Linked DNA regions of Saccharomyces cerevisiae S288C. The gene in region 1 interacts genetically with each later gene. Each region holds a gene or a part of one and is shown in the gene's direction. Other genes may lie near its edges.

Evidence for each region.
Region 2: mutations in MEX67 (region 1) and MCM16 together harm fitness more than expected from each alone (negative genetic interaction), as found in Saccharomyces cerevisiae (2 studies listed by BioGRID).
Region 3: of MEX67 (region 1) and CRM1, changing one enhances a phenotype caused by changing the other (phenotypic enhancement), as found in Saccharomyces cerevisiae (6 studies listed by BioGRID, with this or other methods).
Region 4: mutations in MEX67 (region 1) and ECM1 together harm fitness more than expected from each alone (negative genetic interaction), as found in Saccharomyces cerevisiae (3 studies listed by BioGRID, with this or other methods).

Annotation. Positions count from the first base shown.
Region 1 is NC_001148.4:227,999-233,426, reverse strand, and holds MEX67 (Mex67p), read left to right. Parts: upstream 1-2,588; coding exon 2,589-4,388; downstream 4,389-5,428. Other genes in the region: REV3 (DNA-directed DNA polymerase), read left to right, coding at 1-834; MRX4 (Mrx4p), read right to left, coding at 918-2,210; DAP1 (Dap1p), read right to left, coding at 4,655-5,113. UniProt on the Saccharomyces cerevisiae protein: Involved in the export of mRNA from the nucleus to the cytoplasm.
Region 2 is NC_001148.4:654,694-658,552, forward strand, and holds MCM16 (Mcm16p), read left to right. Parts: upstream 1-2,105; coding exon 2,106-2,651; downstream 2,652-3,859. Other genes in the region: 60S ribosomal protein eL43 RPL43A, read left to right, coding at 1-154; THP3 (Thp3p), read right to left, coding at 447-1,859; MSF1 (phenylalanine--tRNA ligase), read left to right, coding at 2,836-3,859. UniProt on the Saccharomyces cerevisiae protein: Component of the kinetochore, a multiprotein complex that assembles on centromeric DNA and attaches chromosomes to spindle microtubules, mediating chromosome segregation and sister chromatid segregation during meiosis and mitosis.
Region 3 is NC_001139.9:929,945-936,773, forward strand, and holds CRM1 (exportin CRM1), read left to right. Parts: upstream 1-2,596; coding exon 2,597-5,851; downstream 5,852-6,829. Other genes in the region: calcium channel protein CCH1, read left to right, coding at 1-871; mitochondrial 54S ribosomal protein uL3m MRPL9, read right to left, coding at 6,130-6,829. UniProt on the Saccharomyces cerevisiae protein: Receptor for the leucine-rich nuclear export signal (NES).
Region 4 is NC_001133.9:34,803-37,647, forward strand, and holds ECM1 (Ecm1p), read left to right. Parts: upstream 1-1,706; coding exon 1,707-2,345; downstream 2,346-2,845. Other genes in the region: BDH1 ((R,R)-butanediol dehydrogenase), read left to right, coding at 353-1,501; CNE1 (calnexin), read left to right, coding at 2,662-2,845. UniProt on the Saccharomyces cerevisiae protein: Pre-ribosomal factor involved in 60S ribosomal protein subunit export from the nucleus.

The DNA of each region.
Region 1 (5,428 bases):
CAGAAGATTATTGAAAAATGTATTCGATTACTTTTTCAAACCAAAGACCTGTCAAAAATAAAAAAGTATCTTCAAAATGAATTTTTTAAGATTCAAATAGGAAAGGTATCTGCCCAAGATTTTTGTTTTGCAAAAGAAGTTAAATTAGGAGCGTATAAAAGCGAAAAGACAGCCCCTGCAGGTGCCGTGGTTGTAAAAAGAAGAATAAATGAAGACCATAGAGCAGAACCCCAATACAAGGAGCGTATACCTTACCTTGTTGTTAAAGGAAAGCAAGGACAACTGCTTCGGGAAAGATGCGTATCACCAGAAGAGTTCTTAGAAGGTGAGAATTTAGAGTTAGATTCGGAGTATTATATAAACAAAATTCTGATACCTCCTCTTGATAGATTGTTCAATTTGATTGGTATAAATGTTGGCAACTGGGCTCAGGAAATAGTAAAATCCAAAAGGGCGAGCACAACTACTACAAAAGTGGAAAACATAACAAGAGTAGGAACTTCTGCAACATGTTGTAATTGTGGTGAAGAATTGACTAAAATATGTTCACTTCAGTTATGTGATGACTGTTTAGAGAAAAGAAGCACCACAACCTTATCATTTCTCATAAAGAAATTAAAGAGACAAAAAGAATACCAAACACTAAAGACCGTGTGCAGGACGTGCAGTTATCGTTACACTTCCGATGCAGGCATCGAAAATGACCATATAGCTAGTAAATGCAATTCATATGACTGTCCAGTATTTTACTCTCGTGTCAAAGCAGAAAGATACTTGAGAGATAATCAATCTGTTCAAAGGGAAGAAGCATTAATATCTCTAAATGATTGGTAATCTAGACACAGATATGTCTCGCAAAATGATGAGTAGTTATTTGTTTCTATGTATAACGTTGTTATATACAAGAAAGAAAAAAATCATTTCTTTGATTCTTGACGTTGAGATAGACGGTATCTATAATATGCAAAAAAGGAGGCCAGCAATGCTGAGAGTGAAATAAGGAATCTCTTTGAATTAGTGAAAGACTTTTGAGGAATCTTCGTATCCTCTAAGAGTGGATTGCTACTTTGAAAAACTACAATTTTATTATTATCGTATAAGTTCCCCACACATTTCCAACCTTTTAATTCGATCTCATTAATTTCGTTCAAAACTCTATCTGGTGGGGACCCAGATGCATTAATAACGCCAAATAAGTCCGTAAAATTGATGTTAAAGACACTGTGATCAAAGTTGTTTGACAGGGTCATATCCTTATTGTTTTCTAATGAGTGTAACAATATGTTATTCCCTTGAAGTACTTTTTTAGTAGTTTTACTCTTTTTTCCTCCTCCGTTTGAACCTAAAAATACACTTATTCCATTTTGTAAACGTTTCCATAAGCGATTGGGTTCCCTTTTGAATAAGATATTTCCAGCTGATAAGGGTACTATTTCGGAGAAGGATTGAGTATTCCATTGATATATACGAGCTTGATTCTTTTTTTGTTTATCGATGGCACTTTTTTGACGTGCCTTCTTTTCAATATTTTGTAGATAGCGTTTTAGGGAGTTTATATCGATATCTACGTGGTTTTGTTGCGAGGCACCCACTGAAGTCCTGCTTTCCTCATTTTTCTGTAAGTAAAGTGATATTTTCTGATAAACCTCCTCATCATTACACATATCTAAGTTCAAAGAGTGTAGAAGTTCCTTAATATGCATCTTCCTGCTCGGGTGAAGATCCATATTCTCTGCTTTTCGATTTCTTAGTTCAACTTTCTTCTTTTCTTCCTGCGGTGTTATGTCTCGAGGAATAGCAACATTGACAGGACCGGCTGCCAGGTTCATTCCTTCTAATATGTCTTTGTCTGTTAATCGATGTGTTAGTAATAATTTGTTAAGAATTTGCACGTTAGTTTGGAGAGGATTTATCGCGTTCTTCTTACCTTCTCCTTTATATCCGCGCACTAGACTTGTTATGAGATTAATTTCCATTGCAGAAAACTTGGTCTTACCTTTGCCCATGGCAGACTGGTATATTGTGTTTTTGAAGGCCTTTATACGCACTGAATCAGGAGTTTTTGAGTCAAATATATTAAATACATTCCGTCCTCCAAATTTTGCACCTCCACTTCTTGCATGAGATACTGTTCGTACGCAATTCATGCCCATGTTGAATGCCAAGCACTTCATTTTTTTCAGCGATGCAGATGTGTATAAAACTGTCATTTTGAACAGTACTTCCTCCTTCCTTTAAGTTGAATGGAACCAAGTTTATTCCACCAAAGCTCAGAAAAGAAGCAAAGAACAGAAAATTTCTACGAATATTAATTCTGAAGAAACTTAAACGCGGCTTCAAAAGCTAGAAATCCATGCCCACTTGCCTTTCGTAGAGGATTCTAACGATAAATATACCTACAGATTATACTGTTATATAAGATCATCATTACCCGTCTTCCTTTTTTTTCCAGAAGAAAATTTCAGTAAGAGCTGAATTGAGTATGTAGAAAAAAAAATAGTAACAGACTGTTGAAGACATACTTACTCTAAGAAGGAAGAGTAAAATAAATCGTTAAAAATTCTGCATCGCTAATAGCAGCAAAAAAAATGAGCGGATTTCACAATGTTGGAAATATCAATATGATGGCTCAACAGCAGATGCAACAAAATAGAATAAAGATTAGCGTGAGGAACTGGCAGAATGCAACCATGAACGATTTGATTAATTTTATAAGCCGCAACGCTCGAGTAGCTGTTTATGACGCTCATGTGGAAGGACCTTTAGTTATTGGATATGTCAACTCAAAGGCAGAAGCAGAATCGTTAATGAAATGGAACGGTGTCCGGTTTGCAGGCAGTAATTTAAAGTTCGAACTTTTAGATAACAATGGGGCCTCTGCGGGAACTTCAGACACCATTTCGTTCTTGAGGGGGGTGCTCCTTAAGAGGTATGACCCACAAACAAAATTACTAAATTTGGGCGCTTTACATTCAGATCCCGAGCTAATTCAAAAGGGCGTCTTTAGTTCCATCTCCACCCAGTCTAAGATGTTTCCAGCAATGATGAAACTGGCTTCTACAGAAAAAAGTTTGATAGTGGAAAGTGTCAATCTTGCTGACAACCAACTTAAGGACATCTCAGCAATTTCCACATTGGCTCAAACATTTCCTAATTTGAAAAACCTCTGTCTGGCCAACAATCAGATTTTTAGATTTAGATCGCTAGAAGTTTGGAAGAACAAATTCAAAGATCTAAGAGAGCTTTTGATGACAAATAACCCGATAACCACCGATAAGTTGTATCGCACTGAAATGTTAAGATTATTTCCGAAATTGGTTGTACTAGATAACGTGATTGTGAGAGACGAACAAAAATTGCAAACCGTTTACTCATTACCGATGAAGATTCAACAGTTTTTTTTCGAAAACGATGCATTAGGGCAATCATCTACAGACTTTGCAACTAACTTTTTGAATCTATGGGATAATAATAGAGAACAACTGTTAAATTTGTATTCGCCCCAATCCCAGTTTTCTGTTTCCGTGGATTCTACTATTCCTCCATCTACGGTAACAGATTCGGACCAAACTCCAGCATTTGGTTATTACATGTCGTCCTCACGTAATATATCCAAAGTGTCCAGTGAAAAATCTATCCAGCAGAGATTGTCAATCGGGCAAGAGTCCATTAATAGTATATTCAAGACTTTGCCGAAAACAAAGCACCATTTACAAGAACAACCCAATGAATACTCAATGGAAACAATTAGTTATCCTCAAATAAATGGGTTCGTTATTACGTTGCACGGATTTTTTGAAGAGACTGGCAAGCCTGAACTGGAATCCAATAAAAAAACGGGGAAAAATAACTATCAAAAGAATAGAAGATACAATCATGGTTACAACTCCACATCAAATAATAAGTTATCCAAAAAATCCTTTGATAGAACCTGGGTAATTGTTCCAATGAATAATAGTGTCATAATCGCATCTGATCTGTTAACTGTAAGAGCGTATTCCACAGGCGCTTGGAAAACTGCATCTATTGCAATAGCACAGCCTCCACAGCAACAGGCCTCGGTCCTACCACAGGTCGCAAGCATGAACCCAAATATAACGACACCACCGCAGCCACAACCTTCAGTGGTACCAGGAGGGATGAGCATTCCCGGCGCACCCCAAGGAGCCATGGTCATGGCTCCCACTTTGCAACTACCTCCAGATGTCCAGTCGCGGCTAAATCCCGTACAACTCGAGCTGCTGAATAAACTACATTTGGAAACGAAATTGAATGCAGAATACACGTTTATGTTGGCCGAGCAAAGTAACTGGAACTATGAAGTTGCCATAAAGGGTTTTCAGAGTAGCATGAATGGCATCCCTAGAGAAGCATTTGTGCAGTTCTAATGATATTGTTCCCTGTTTCAGCCGCACAGTATCACAAAAAATATACAGTTTAAGCTACTGTTTTCGTCACGTTCCGAACAGCAGCATGCTTTGTATATTTTGTACTAATTCATAAATAAGTAATTATTTCTATACAACCGTTATATAGAAGATTTTTTCAAAATATAGATATGTATATGTATACATATATCATCGTCCACCACGCCCCTTCCTTTTTCCCTTTCCTTGGTGTTTGCTATTAATAAATAATGTGCGGAGCTCAATCGTCATACGTTCACGCCAGGCTCCGGAATCAGAGTACCAATGCATGGGTACTTATTCTCAAAATGCTCTTGCCACTCATCCAGTGCGTCAATCTGTTCTTTTGTCAGATCATCTAAGGGATCGATAGGCTGATCCCAATCTTTAATAACGTCCAGATCGAAGGAGTTCAATGCAAGACCACGCGACGCATCATGGCCTGCAAAGTTAGTGTATGGCCCGCTTGGACCGTAAAACTGCCTCCCTCTTGTGCAGTCGTATACTTTGCCCCTAATAGCAATAAATATTTTTTCATCGTCGTGGCCGTTAAATTTGGAAAGCGTCCTAGGAAAGAAATTACCCGCTACTACCGGTTCACTACCTTTATTAGAATCGTTTGTGTTTGAGGCCCCGTTACCTGTGAGCCCGGTTGGATCCTCACTTGTTTTAACACCTCCAAATAACAAGTTTTTAATGAAGGACATTTGTTCTCTATAATATTCCGATGTACGTGTGTGTGGCTGATGAGATTTAGACTGGTTAGACTATTTGACGCGTCTATTATAGCTTACTGCAACAAGAAAATGATCGTTGATATATAAACTCTCAGATGTATATATCGTTCTGGAAACATCGAGCATAATACAATACAATTCAACAAAAATGCGAGAAGGCACTGATGTCTTGTCGTTAAAGAACCAAAAACGCGGACACTACGACCGTCTTATTTCCGGTAGAAAAAGGGTACATACAGTTGAAGGAACGAAGAAAATTAAAATTAGAAAAAAAAGTAAAATAAA
Region 2 (3,859 bases), 430 kb from region 1:
TGGTAAGAAGACCGTCAAGAGAGGTGCTGCTGGTATTTGGACTTGTTCCTGTTGTAAGAAGACCGTCGCTGGTGGTGCTTACACTGTCTCCACTGCTGCTGCCGCCACCGTTAGATCTACCATCAGAAGATTGAGAGAAATGGTTGAAGCTTGATTTTATTTTAATTATATGTATAAAAATCATAAAACAACTATATAATTAATTATAACTCAAAAACTTTTCCAGTAAATGTCTGTTTTTTGGGCAGGAACAATGGCCAATAGCTCACGTACTGTTCGTGGGGGCCTTAAGCCTGGTATCTAGGCTCTGATTTCCAGAAGAAAGTGACATCGATGAATGCACTCAAGAGATTTTATGTGTTGTGAATATGTATATATTTATTTAGAAAAAAAAAAAAAAAAAAAAACCAAAATCATATACCTTAGGCATCCCGTTTCCCTCTTCATCATTTTTGTCCCTTTATATCAATTTTTTTAGACTTCATATAATTTTGTATCAACTGTACCCTACATCCCTTGGTATTCAAAATCTTGATATTACTACTTTTGCCATTACTGTCAGTGATTTGTTTGTTTAATATGAACTCCGTCAAGTTTTGCTCATTCAAGAAATTTGTTGTCTCTTCTATACTGTTGAAATTAAACTCACTTTTAACAAAATCTAAATTGACCTGGTTATAACTCTTACAAATTATGGTCAAAAATATCAACTTTTCTAGATTTAAGAATGAATTAATTAGACATTTTTCAAATTTGTGCAGTTTTAGGTAGTTTTTCATGAAGTAGTGATAATTGCCGACTAGTTTCATATCGCTCAACTCAAATATCATTTTGACATGTTCGTCCTCCAAGATTTCCGAAGAGCCATCGTCTATTAACTTAAGTTTTAAATGAGAAATCGACGGATAGTCTTCGGTTAACATCGAATACAAAACAGAATAGCATATAAATTCGGAATAAGATTTTTTTGGTATTGTAGGGTTTTCGAATAACGCCATAATCCTATTTTGACATTGATTAAATTCCCCAAGATCTCCGTTCTCCAAGGCAATACGTGCATGCGTTTGGTACACTTTAATAGTGAAAGAGTTCTCGATCATTTGCACTCTTAGGTCTTGTCTCATTGATTTAAACTGGTCGCAAAGGTAAGTATAAGTGGCTGTTTTAGATTGGTATTTGTCCATTAACAAGCAATACATTTTTTGTAGAATATTTGGGGGTCTGATCAAGTCAGGATTAGGCTCTGAAGTTAGTCTCAGATAAGATTTCTCTAGAGTTTGGCAACGCCCTACCACATGAATCTTTTTGTCATATTGATGAGATTTGCTACTAATGGCATTTAGGTTGGCAAAGTCTTCATTCAAATTATCGTTACTATTCGTCGTCGCTGATGGTCCCTGACTGAATCTTTCTGCCCTTCTCTTTCTTCTCTCTAATTCATCACTGCCACCCATTTCAACTTTCCATCCCGATGCCGAACCTACAGCACCATGCCCTACTATATTACTGTTGCTCATTACATTGCCGGATACCCCGTTAGAAAGGGCTGATGCCTTCTTAGATACTCTTGGTAATTTCTTTTTAATGTTTTTGTTCATACGTTTTTGTAATCCCGGAAGCGGTGTTACCATCAAAGGGTTAGAAACCTGGTTGACGTTGTTCCAAGATAAACGTGGTTCTGGCAAAGGCAGAGAAGGTTGTTGATTGGCAATGAAATTATTATTATTGTATGTCAGAGAAGGGAAAGATCCGGCGTAATCTAGGGGCCTATTCAGGCTTTGGCCGAATGGTCCTCCTTGAGATGAAGCTTCCCTGTCCTCCGTGGTATTGTTAGTAAAGTGACCGTAAGGATTCTGCATAATGTTATTGGAAACTCAACTACTCGCTGCCGAACGGTTCCTACTCCTTGTATTCTATGGTTTCTTTACGAGACAGCCAAATCTCTATTTTTTGTCATGTTCAGTCCTTTTTTACTCAAAAATTCCAAACCGTGAAGGATGATGCATGTTGACAATAAATGATAGCCGTCATCACATACAGTGTGCAATATCTAGATACTTCTAACCATTTCTTCCTGTCGTGGGGAGTTCATACCATTTTGACAGATGACAAACAGTAGTGAAAAACAATGGGAAAGAATCCAGCAATTAGAAAAGGAGCACGTGGAGGTATATAGAGAGTTGTTGATCACGTTGGACAGGTTGTACTTGATTAGAAAACACAATCATGCGGTAATATTAAGCCATACTCAACAGCGCCTCTTGGAAATTAGACACCAACTTCAAATTAATCTTGAAAAGACTGCTCTTCTTATTAGACTGTTGGAGAAACCGGACAATACCAATGTATTATTCACCAAGCTACAAAACCTCTTAGAAGAAAGCAATTCTCTGGACTATGAGCTCTTGCAATCGTTAGGTGCTCAATCTTCATTGCACAAACAGTTGATTGAATCAAGAGCAGAACGCGACGAATTGATGTCAAAACTGATTGAGTTATCGTCGAAGTTTCCCAAACCAACTATACCGCCAGACGACAGTGATACTGCTGGAAAACAGGTTGAGGTAGAAAAGGAAAATGAAACGATACAAGAATTGATGATTGCTTTACAGATACACTCCGGATATACAAACATATCCTACACAATTTGATTTTTATCTTCTAATGCTATTTATATATTCAAATAATTTTAATACTGACAACGCTAATAATAATAGTTACTTAATTAAGGTTTGAATCTTCGAGAAAAAAAAAAGGTAGGAAAATTAAGGAACTACTCACAAATTCAGAGAGAGAGAAGGGATAAAAAAATATCTGCCAATGGAGGTAACTTCAATGTTTCTCAATAGAATGATGAAGACCAGGACTGGTCTTTATCGCTTATATTCAACCCTTAAAGTTCCACATGTAGAAATCAATGGCATAAAATACAAGACCGACCCACAGACTACCAATGTTACAGATTCAATAATAAAGCTTACCGACAGATCATTACATTTGAAAGAATCACATCCAGTAGGCATTCTTCGCGATCTAATTGAAAAGAAATTAAACTCAGTCGACAACACATTTAAGATCTTTAATAATTTCAAGCCCGTGGTAACCACAATGGAAAACTTCGATTCTTTAGGGTTTCCTAAGGATCATCCTGGAAGATCAAAATCTGACACATATTATATAAATGAGACGCACCTACTGAGAACACATACTTCAGCCCACGAATTAGAGTGCTTTCAAAAAATAAGAAACGATTCAGATAATATTAAAAGTGGATTTTTAATATCTGCAGATGTGTACAGAAGAGATGAAATTGACAAAACTCACTATCCGGTATTCCACCAAATGGAAGGAGCCACAATTTGGAAACGAACGAAGGCTGATGTGGGCGTAAAGGAGCCAATGTATATCGAGAAAATCCGTGAAGATATCAGACAGGTAGAGAACCTTTTAAATAAAGAAAATGTAAAGATTACGGTTGACGATGATACTATACCTTTGAAAGAAAATAATCCTAAACAAGAGTATATGTCCGATCTGGAGGTTGATTTGTGCTCTCAACATTTGAAGAGGTCCATTGAACTGATAGTTTCTGAAGTTTTTAACAAAAAAATATCTAGCATGATCAAGAACAAAGCGAATAATACACCCAAAGAGCTAAAAGTCCGTTGGATTAACGCTTACTTCCCCTGGACCGCGCCCTCATGGGAAATAGAGGTTTGGTGGCAGGGCGAATGGCTCGAACTCTGCGGATGCGGATTGATTCGTCAAGATGTGCTACTAAGAGCCGGATATAAACCTTCTGAAACAATTGGGTGGGCTTTTGGCTTGGGTTTGGACCGCATTGCTATGCTTCTTTTTG
Region 3 (6,829 bases), on another chromosome or scaffold:
GTGGAATATTATTTCCATGTATATTTTTGTGAATATGTTTGTTTCGTTGATTATTGGTAATTTCAGTTATGTTTACCGTAGCGGTGGATCTCGCTCTGGCATCAACAGATCGGAGATAAAAAAATACATTGAAGCTTGGTCCAAATTTGATACTGATGGAACTGGCGAGCTTGAGCTGTCCTACCTCCCAAGAATAATGCATTCATTTGACGGTCCTCTTTCATTTAAAATTTGGGAAGGTAGATTGACAATAAAAAGTCTAGTCGAGAACTACATGGAGGTTAACCCAGATGATCCATATGACGTCAAAATAGACCTGATCGGACTGAACAAAGAGCTGAATACGATTGATAAAGCAAAGATCATACAGAGGAAGTTACAGTACAGAAGATTTGTACAAAGCATTCACTATACGAATGCTTATAATGGATGTATCAGATTCTCGGATTTGTTATTACAAATACCTCTCTATACAGCTTATTCTGCAAGGGAATGTCTAGGTATTGATCAATATGTCCATCATCTATATATCCTGGGTAAAGTGGACAAGTACTTAGAAAATCAAAGAAACTTCGATGTATTGGAGATGGTGGTAACAAGATGGAAATTTCATTGCAGGATGAAACGTACCATTGAACCCGAATGGGATGTTAAAGATCCCACAGTATCGTCTCACATTTCGAATATAAACGTAAATCTGGAACCTGCTCCAGGAATTTTAGAAAGAGAACCTATTGCGACACCTAGAATGGACTACGGTGTTAACAATTTTATGTGGTCTCCGAGAATGAATCAAGACTCTACGATGGAGCCCCCGGAAGAACCAATAGATAATAATGACGATAGCGCAAATGATCTAATTGATAGATAAATTATATAAGGGCATATTTAAGAGGCTTTATAGATGTAAAAATGAACAATAAGAATAATTTAAATTTGTTTTATTGAGAGGTGATTTTCTAGAGCATGTCAAACTTTACTATTCAGGGAAAAAAGAAAAGAAAAAAATGCGCAAGCCCGGAATCGAACCGGGGGCCCAACGATGGCAACGTTGGATTTTACCACTAAACCACTTGCGCTTACTGATTATATCTTAATGGTTGAAGAGATCTGAATAAGTTTTATCTTCCTCTGGGCAAAGAATACTATACATTGCAAGAGTACCCATTAGAAGGGAATTAATTTATGCACTCTAAATCTTTTTTGATTATTCCGGATATTATTTTTGTTGATAATTAGAGGTAAAAAATAGTATTAATGAAGAAATAAGTATTGATCTTCTTATACTAAATAAGAGAGGTATATAAAACACACGCCGATTGGTCATATTAATCATGACCAATATAATAGTGATTCCGGTAGTTACTATACATTGATGTGACGACTCATATTCCTCATATATGTACCTACCATATCATGTTCAACTAATAGATTTTAAGCACAGCTTCAGTATTGTCTCAGCTTCTCGTTTAACATTCCTTCTGCAATAGGTGCAATCACACTTAAACGTATACGAGGTGTACATTAATATACGATGTAAGCATTATATTGTTACCATAGCAACTCATGTCACTATTAATTACTCTCGTTCCAACAATTTTGTATTTGAAGCTTTAACGGGTGTTAAATGCACAGCCGATACGGCTCATCCGAAAAGTAACGCCAATTATATTAACAGCTTTTCCATTTATTTAGAATGGCGATACAACGGAAACATACGAATATGATAGTACTCAATTGTTGTGTTGGAATAAAAATCCACTATCGTCTATCAACTAATAGTTATATTATCAATATATTATCATATACGGTGTTAAGATGATGACATAAGTTATGAGAAGCTGTCATCGATGTTAGAGGAAGCTGAAGTGCAAGGATTGATAATATAATAGGATAATGAAACATATAAAACGGAATGAGGAATAATCGTAATATTAGTATGTAGAAATATAGATTCCATTTTGAGGATTCCTATATCCTCGAGGAGAACTTCTAGTATATTCTGTATACCTAATATTATAGCCTTTATCAACAATGGAATCCCAACAATTATCTCATCATTTACCCATTTCTCATGTTGTGTACACATTATATACCTCCCAGTTACTGTCAATCCTCTCCTCTTATATCGTTTCAATACAAATAATATATTATGAAGGGCAATATTACATCATTACCCGGAGATATATACTATTTGGAATGATCTTTCTTTATAAGAAAAAAAAAGAATTTCGCAGATTTCCCTGGCTTTCCTTATTCTTCCTACGTTAGCATTATTATGAATTATCGCTAATAGCAAAGGCAAAAAAGATTATCAACTGCAGGATATTCGGTCACAACTTTGACATAGATCTTGAGAACCTCAACACTATTCATTTCTCTGGCCTGATTATTTTAAGTAAAGTCAATCATTGTTAAGTTTTCTTTTGTTCTTTTCTATCATTCTCGCTCTTTCAATTACTTACACCTACAATAATAGACGTTGACCTGTGAAAGGCAAGAAACTTAACTAATAGTATAATTAAGAAGAAGTTAACATTTTACTCTACATTATTGAAACCGCTCACTGACTTCAAAAATAGGATAAAAACATAATATGGAAGGAATTTTGGATTTTTCTAACGACTTAGATATCGCTCTATTAGATCAGGTGGTATCTACATTCTATCAAGGTTCAGGTGTTCAGCAAAAGCAAGCCCAAGAGATTTTGACTAAATTTCAAGATAATCCAGACGCTTGGCAAAAAGCTGACCAAATTCTTCAATTCTCAACTAACCCTCAATCAAAATTTATTGCCCTTTCCATCCTTGATAAATTAATTACTAGAAAATGGAAATTGTTGCCGAATGATCATAGAATTGGAATTAGGAACTTCGTTGTTGGTATGATTATCTCCATGTGCCAAGACGATGAAGTATTTAAAACACAAAAGAACCTGATCAATAAGTCGGACTTGACTTTGGTCCAAATTTTAAAGCAGGAATGGCCTCAGAATTGGCCTGAATTTATCCCAGAACTAATCGGCAGTTCAAGTTCCTCTGTTAATGTTTGTGAAAATAACATGATCGTTTTGAAACTGCTATCCGAAGAAGTCTTCGATTTCTCTGCGGAACAAATGACACAAGCTAAAGCTTTACATTTGAAAAATTCCATGTCAAAAGAATTTGAACAGATTTTTAAATTATGTTTTCAAGTTTTGGAACAAGGTTCTTCAAGCTCTCTAATAGTGGCAACCTTAGAATCTTTACTGAGATATTTACATTGGATTCCTTATCGTTATATTTATGAAACCAATATTTTGGAATTATTAAGCACCAAATTCATGACATCGCCTGATACAAGAGCCATCACATTGAAATGTTTGACTGAGGTTTCAAATCTAAAAATTCCACAAGATAATGATTTGATAAAAAGACAAACTGTACTTTTTTTCCAAAATACTCTACAACAAATTGCCACAAGTGTGATGCCCGTGACTGCCGATCTGAAAGCCACTTATGCAAATGCTAACGGTAATGATCAATCTTTCTTACAAGATTTAGCAATGTTTCTAACTACATATCTCGCTCGTAATAGGGCCCTTCTAGAGAGTGATGAATCGTTAAGAGAGTTGTTGTTGAATGCGCACCAATACTTAATTCAATTATCCAAAATCGAAGAAAGAGAACTATTTAAGACGACATTGGATTACTGGCATAATTTAGTAGCAGATTTGTTTTATGAGGTTCAGCGTTTGCCTGCTACCGAAATGAGCCCATTGATACAGTTATCAGTCGGTTCACAAGCTATCTCAACTGGATCTGGCGCCCTAAATCCGGAATATATGAAAAGATTTCCATTAAAAAAACATATTTACGAAGAAATTTGTTCACAGTTGAGATTGGTCATTATTGAAAATATGGTTAGACCAGAAGAAGTCCTTGTGGTTGAAAATGATGAAGGAGAAATTGTTAGAGAGTTCGTTAAAGAATCAGACACTATCCAATTATACAAATCAGAAAGAGAGGTTCTTGTATATTTGACCCATTTGAATGTTATCGATACAGAAGAAATCATGATCAGTAAATTGGCAAGGCAAATCGATGGTTCCGAATGGTCATGGCATAATATCAACACTTTATCTTGGGCTATTGGTTCCATATCTGGTACAATGAGCGAAGATACTGAAAAAAGGTTTGTAGTTACTGTTATTAAAGATTTACTAGATTTAACGGTCAAGAAAAGGGGTAAAGATAATAAAGCTGTTGTTGCATCGGATATTATGTACGTCGTGGGCCAATATCCTAGATTTTTGAAGGCTCACTGGAATTTTCTAAGAACAGTTATTTTGAAACTTTTTGAATTTATGCATGAAACTCATGAGGGTGTTCAGGATATGGCATGTGACACATTCATTAAGATTGTTCAAAAATGTAAATATCATTTTGTTATTCAACAACCCCGTGAGTCTGAGCCTTTCATCCAAACAATAATTAGGGATATTCAAAAGACAACTGCTGACCTACAGCCGCAACAGGTCCATACATTTTACAAGGCTTGTGGTATTATTATTTCTGAAGAAAGAAGCGTAGCGGAGAGAAATAGATTATTAAGTGATTTGATGCAACTGCCAAATATGGCTTGGGACACTATAGTGGAACAATCCACTGCTAACCCAACATTGTTGTTAGATTCTGAAACTGTCAAAATTATTGCGAATATTATAAAAACCAATGTAGCTGTCTGCACCTCAATGGGAGCAGATTTCTATCCACAGTTGGGTCACATCTATTACAATATGCTTCAGCTATACAGAGCTGTTTCTTCGATGATTTCTGCTCAAGTTGCCGCAGAAGGTCTAATTGCTACGAAGACACCAAAGGTTCGTGGTTTGAGAACCATCAAAAAAGAGATTCTGAAGCTTGTTGAGACCTATATATCCAAGGCGAGAAATTTGGATGATGTCGTTAAAGTGTTAGTTGAGCCATTATTGAACGCTGTACTTGAAGACTATATGAACAACGTTCCTGATGCAAGGGACGCCGAAGTGCTAAATTGTATGACAACAGTAGTAGAAAAGGTTGGTCATATGATCCCACAAGGTGTTATTTTAATTTTACAGAGTGTATTTGAATGCACTTTGGACATGATTAACAAAGACTTCACAGAATATCCAGAGCATCGTGTAGAATTTTACAAGTTATTGAAGGTCATCAATGAGAAATCATTTGCTGCATTTTTGGAACTACCTCCGGCTGCCTTTAAATTGTTTGTTGACGCTATTTGTTGGGCGTTCAAACATAACAATAGAGATGTCGAAGTTAATGGTCTACAGATTGCATTAGACCTAGTGAAAAACATTGAAAGAATGGGAAATGTCCCATTTGCAAATGAGTTCCACAAGAATTATTTTTTCATTTTTGTCAGTGAAACGTTTTTTGTTTTAACCGATTCCGACCACAAATCCGGTTTTTCTAAGCAAGCTTTGTTACTAATGAAGTTGATTTCTTTGGTTTATGATAACAAGATTTCGGTACCATTATATCAAGAAGCTGAGGTACCACAAGGAACTTCAAATCAAGTCTACTTAAGCCAATATTTGGCTAATATGTTAAGTAATGCATTCCCCCATTTAACATCCGAACAAATCGCAAGTTTTCTCTCTGCATTAACTAAACAATACAAAGACTTAGTGGTCTTCAAAGGCACTTTGAGGGACTTTTTGGTGCAAATCAAAGAAGTCGGAGGTGATCCAACAGATTATTTGTTTGCTGAAGATAAAGAGAATGCATTAATGGAACAGAATAGACTAGAGAGGGAAAAAGCTGCCAAGATTGGTGGGTTATTAAAACCTTCCGAACTTGATGATTAGAGGCGGTGGCGTATCATTCTTTAAATTTCCAATATTTTTTCCCTTTTATTAACTAGTCTCTAATTTATAACCACGGGGTTTTCATTTCTTTTTCACTTCATATTGTATGTAAATTGGTTCTTCAAAGTTCCAATACTCTAATATAGTACTAAATACTATTTAGCCAACTTCATGGAAAAGTAAAGAATATTATTTGAAGATTCTTAAGTGATTACCCATTTTATTGTTATTATTGATGTATGTACATGATTGTAGTAAAATACTTATACGCCTTATGCTCAAGTTTTTTTGATTGCATCTTGAATTTTAACGAAACTGTTTTTGGGCCCAGCCACAGAGCCTTTAACCCAAATAACATTATTTTCATCGTCGACTTTCAAAACTTTAACATTTTGGATAGTAACATGCTCGTTTCCCATATGACCAGGCATCTTTCTTCCTGGCAGTACCCTACCTGGGTCTTGGTTTTGACCATAAGAACCACCGTGTCTATGCATAATAGATGTACCATGAGATGCTCTCAAACCCTTGAATCCATACCTTTTCATCACACCAGTAAAACCTTTGCCTTTGCTGACTGATCTGACGTCAACATATTGGCCTTCTTTGAAAAAAGAGGGTTTCAATAATGTGCCAGGTGGTATTAATCCCTTTTCATCTTTAACTCGGAATTCGGCCACATGCTCTTTTGGGTTAACAACTTTAGAAGCGAAATGACCAAGCATTTGTCTGCTAACTTTAGACAAATGCCTTGATCCGTACCCTACTTGACACGCGAAGTACCCATTGACCTCCGAAGTTCTATGCATTATTACTTCAACATTATTAACTTCTAATATAGTAGCGGCGCTTCTTTCACCAGTAGATTTATCAAAATAAGGCATCATTCCCTTCTTACGAGTAATTAAACCGCATCTTTTTGGTAGCCATTTTCTCGCATTTGCCAGTTCAGGTGAGTGATTAATCGCTGGAGCCTCG
Region 4 (2,845 bases), on another chromosome or scaffold:
TCATATGTACATTTATCGAGCCAATCGAGGGCAGCAGTTTAACATCAAGCCGGATTTGCTCACGCTACTTTGACCCCTTTTCGTTTCGACGGAGAGAAGAAACCGGTGTTTTCCTATCCTTGCCTATTCTTTCCTCCTTACGGGGTCCTAGCCTGTTTCTCTTGATATGATAATAGGTGGAAACGTAGAAAAAAAAATCGACATATAAAAGTGGGGCAGATACTTCGTGTGACAATGGCCAATTCAAGCCCTTTGGGCAGATGTTGCCCTTCTTCTTTCTTAAAAAGTCTTAGTACGATTGACCAAGTCAGAAAAAAAAAAAAAAAGGAACTAAAAAAAGTTTTAATTAATTATGAGAGCTTTGGCATATTTCAAGAAGGGTGATATTCACTTCACTAATGATATCCCTAGGCCAGAAATCCAAACCGACGATGAGGTTATTATCGACGTCTCTTGGTGTGGGATTTGTGGCTCGGATCTTCACGAGTACTTGGATGGTCCAATCTTCATGCCTAAAGATGGAGAGTGCCATAAATTATCCAACGCTGCTTTACCTCTGGCAATGGGCCATGAGATGTCAGGAATTGTTTCCAAGGTTGGTCCTAAAGTGACAAAGGTGAAGGTTGGCGACCACGTGGTCGTTGATGCTGCCAGCAGTTGTGCGGACCTGCATTGCTGGCCACACTCCAAATTTTACAATTCCAAACCATGTGATGCTTGTCAGAGGGGCAGTGAAAATCTATGTACCCACGCCGGTTTTGTAGGACTAGGTGTGATCAGTGGTGGCTTTGCTGAACAAGTCGTAGTCTCTCAACATCACATTATCCCGGTTCCAAAGGAAATTCCTCTAGATGTGGCTGCTTTAGTTGAGCCTCTTTCTGTCACCTGGCATGCTGTTAAGATTTCTGGTTTCAAAAAAGGCAGTTCAGCCTTGGTTCTTGGTGCAGGTCCCATTGGGTTGTGTACCATTTTGGTACTTAAGGGAATGGGGGCTAGTAAAATTGTAGTGTCTGAAATTGCAGAGAGAAGAATAGAAATGGCCAAGAAACTGGGCGTTGAGGTGTTCAATCCCTCCAAGCACGGTCATAAATCTATAGAGATACTACGTGGTTTGACCAAGAGCCATGATGGGTTTGATTACAGTTATGATTGTTCTGGTATTCAAGTTACTTTCGAAACCTCTTTGAAGGCATTAACATTCAAGGGGACAGCCACCAACATTGCAGTTTGGGGTCCAAAACCTGTCCCATTCCAACCAATGGATGTGACTCTCCAAGAGAAAGTTATGACTGGTTCGATCGGCTATGTTGTCGAAGACTTCGAAGAAGTTGTTCGTGCCATCCACAACGGAGACATCGCCATGGAAGATTGTAAGCAACTAATCACTGGTAAGCAAAGGATTGAGGACGGTTGGGAAAAGGGATTCCAAGAGTTGATGGATCACAAGGAATCCAACGTTAAGATTCTATTGACGCCTAACAATCACGGTGAAATGAAGTAATGACAAAATAATATTTGGGGCCCCTCGCGGCTCATTTGTAGTATCTAAGATTATGTATTTTCTTTTATAATATTTGTTGTTATGAAACAGACAGAAGTAAGTTTCTGCGACTATATTATTTTTTTTTTTCTTCTTTTTTTTTCCTTTATTCAACTTGGCGATGAGCTGAAAATTTTTTTGGTTAAGGACCCTTTAGAAGTATTGAATGTGGGAACAAAGACGACAAAAGGTAGTTTTTTCCTTGACTATACTGGTAAGATATCGTCTAAAACAAAGCATGGCCAAGAAAATATCAAAGAATTCAAGAGCTGCTAGACAATCGGATGCTCTTGAACCAGAGGTAAAGGATTTAAGTGAACTACCTAGAGCTGAAAAAACCGATTTGACTAATATTTTGATTAGAACAGCAGCCAAGAATGAGGCATTGCTGGAAGCAAAGATATCTAAGAAAGCCAATAAAAGTAAGAGGGGCAAGAAGTTAAATAAAAAGGCTCTGGAAGACAAACTGGCCAACTCTATTTCATCCATGGACAGGGATCGTTTAGTGAAGGCCTTGAATTTTACCAATCGTCTGGACGGTAAAATTGCCAAGTCCATTTCTCGTGCCAAGTACATTCAAAATACAAGAAAGGCTGGCTGGGATAGCACCAATGAGACTATAAAAAAAGAGCTGGCTTTTTTGAACGGAGGGTTGTCTGTGCAGGCAAAAAGTGCTAGTGAAGGTAATGCTGAAAAGGAAGATGAGGAGATCCCAGAAGTTTTTGACTCTTTAGCAGAGGATAACACAGTGCAGAAGACTCCTACAAATAGATTCGGTGTCCTGCCAGACGATGTTGAAGAATAGAAAATTTTCATATGAAAGGTCCTAGGAATACACGATTCTTGTACGCATTCTTCTTTTTTCTATCTTCTTTCATTCTTTGTACATTAGATAACATGGTTTTAGCTTAGTTTTATTTTATTTTTTATATATCTGGATGTATACTATTATTGAAAAACTTCATTAATAGTTACAACTTTTTCAATATCAAGTTGATTAAGAAAAAGAAAATTATTATGGGTTAGCTGAAAACCGTGTGATGCATGTCGTTTAAGGATTGTGTAAAAAAGTGAACGGCAACGCATTTCTAATATAGATAACGGCCACACAAAGTAGTACTATGAAATTTTCTGCGTATTTATGGTGGCTGTTTTTGAATCTAGCGTTGGTGAAAGGCACTTCATTGCTATCCAACGTTACATTAGCGGAAGATTCTTTCTGGGAGCATTTTCAGGCTTACACTAATACAAAGCATTTAAACCAAGAGTGGATCACAAGTGAAGCCGTCAACAATGAAGGCTCTA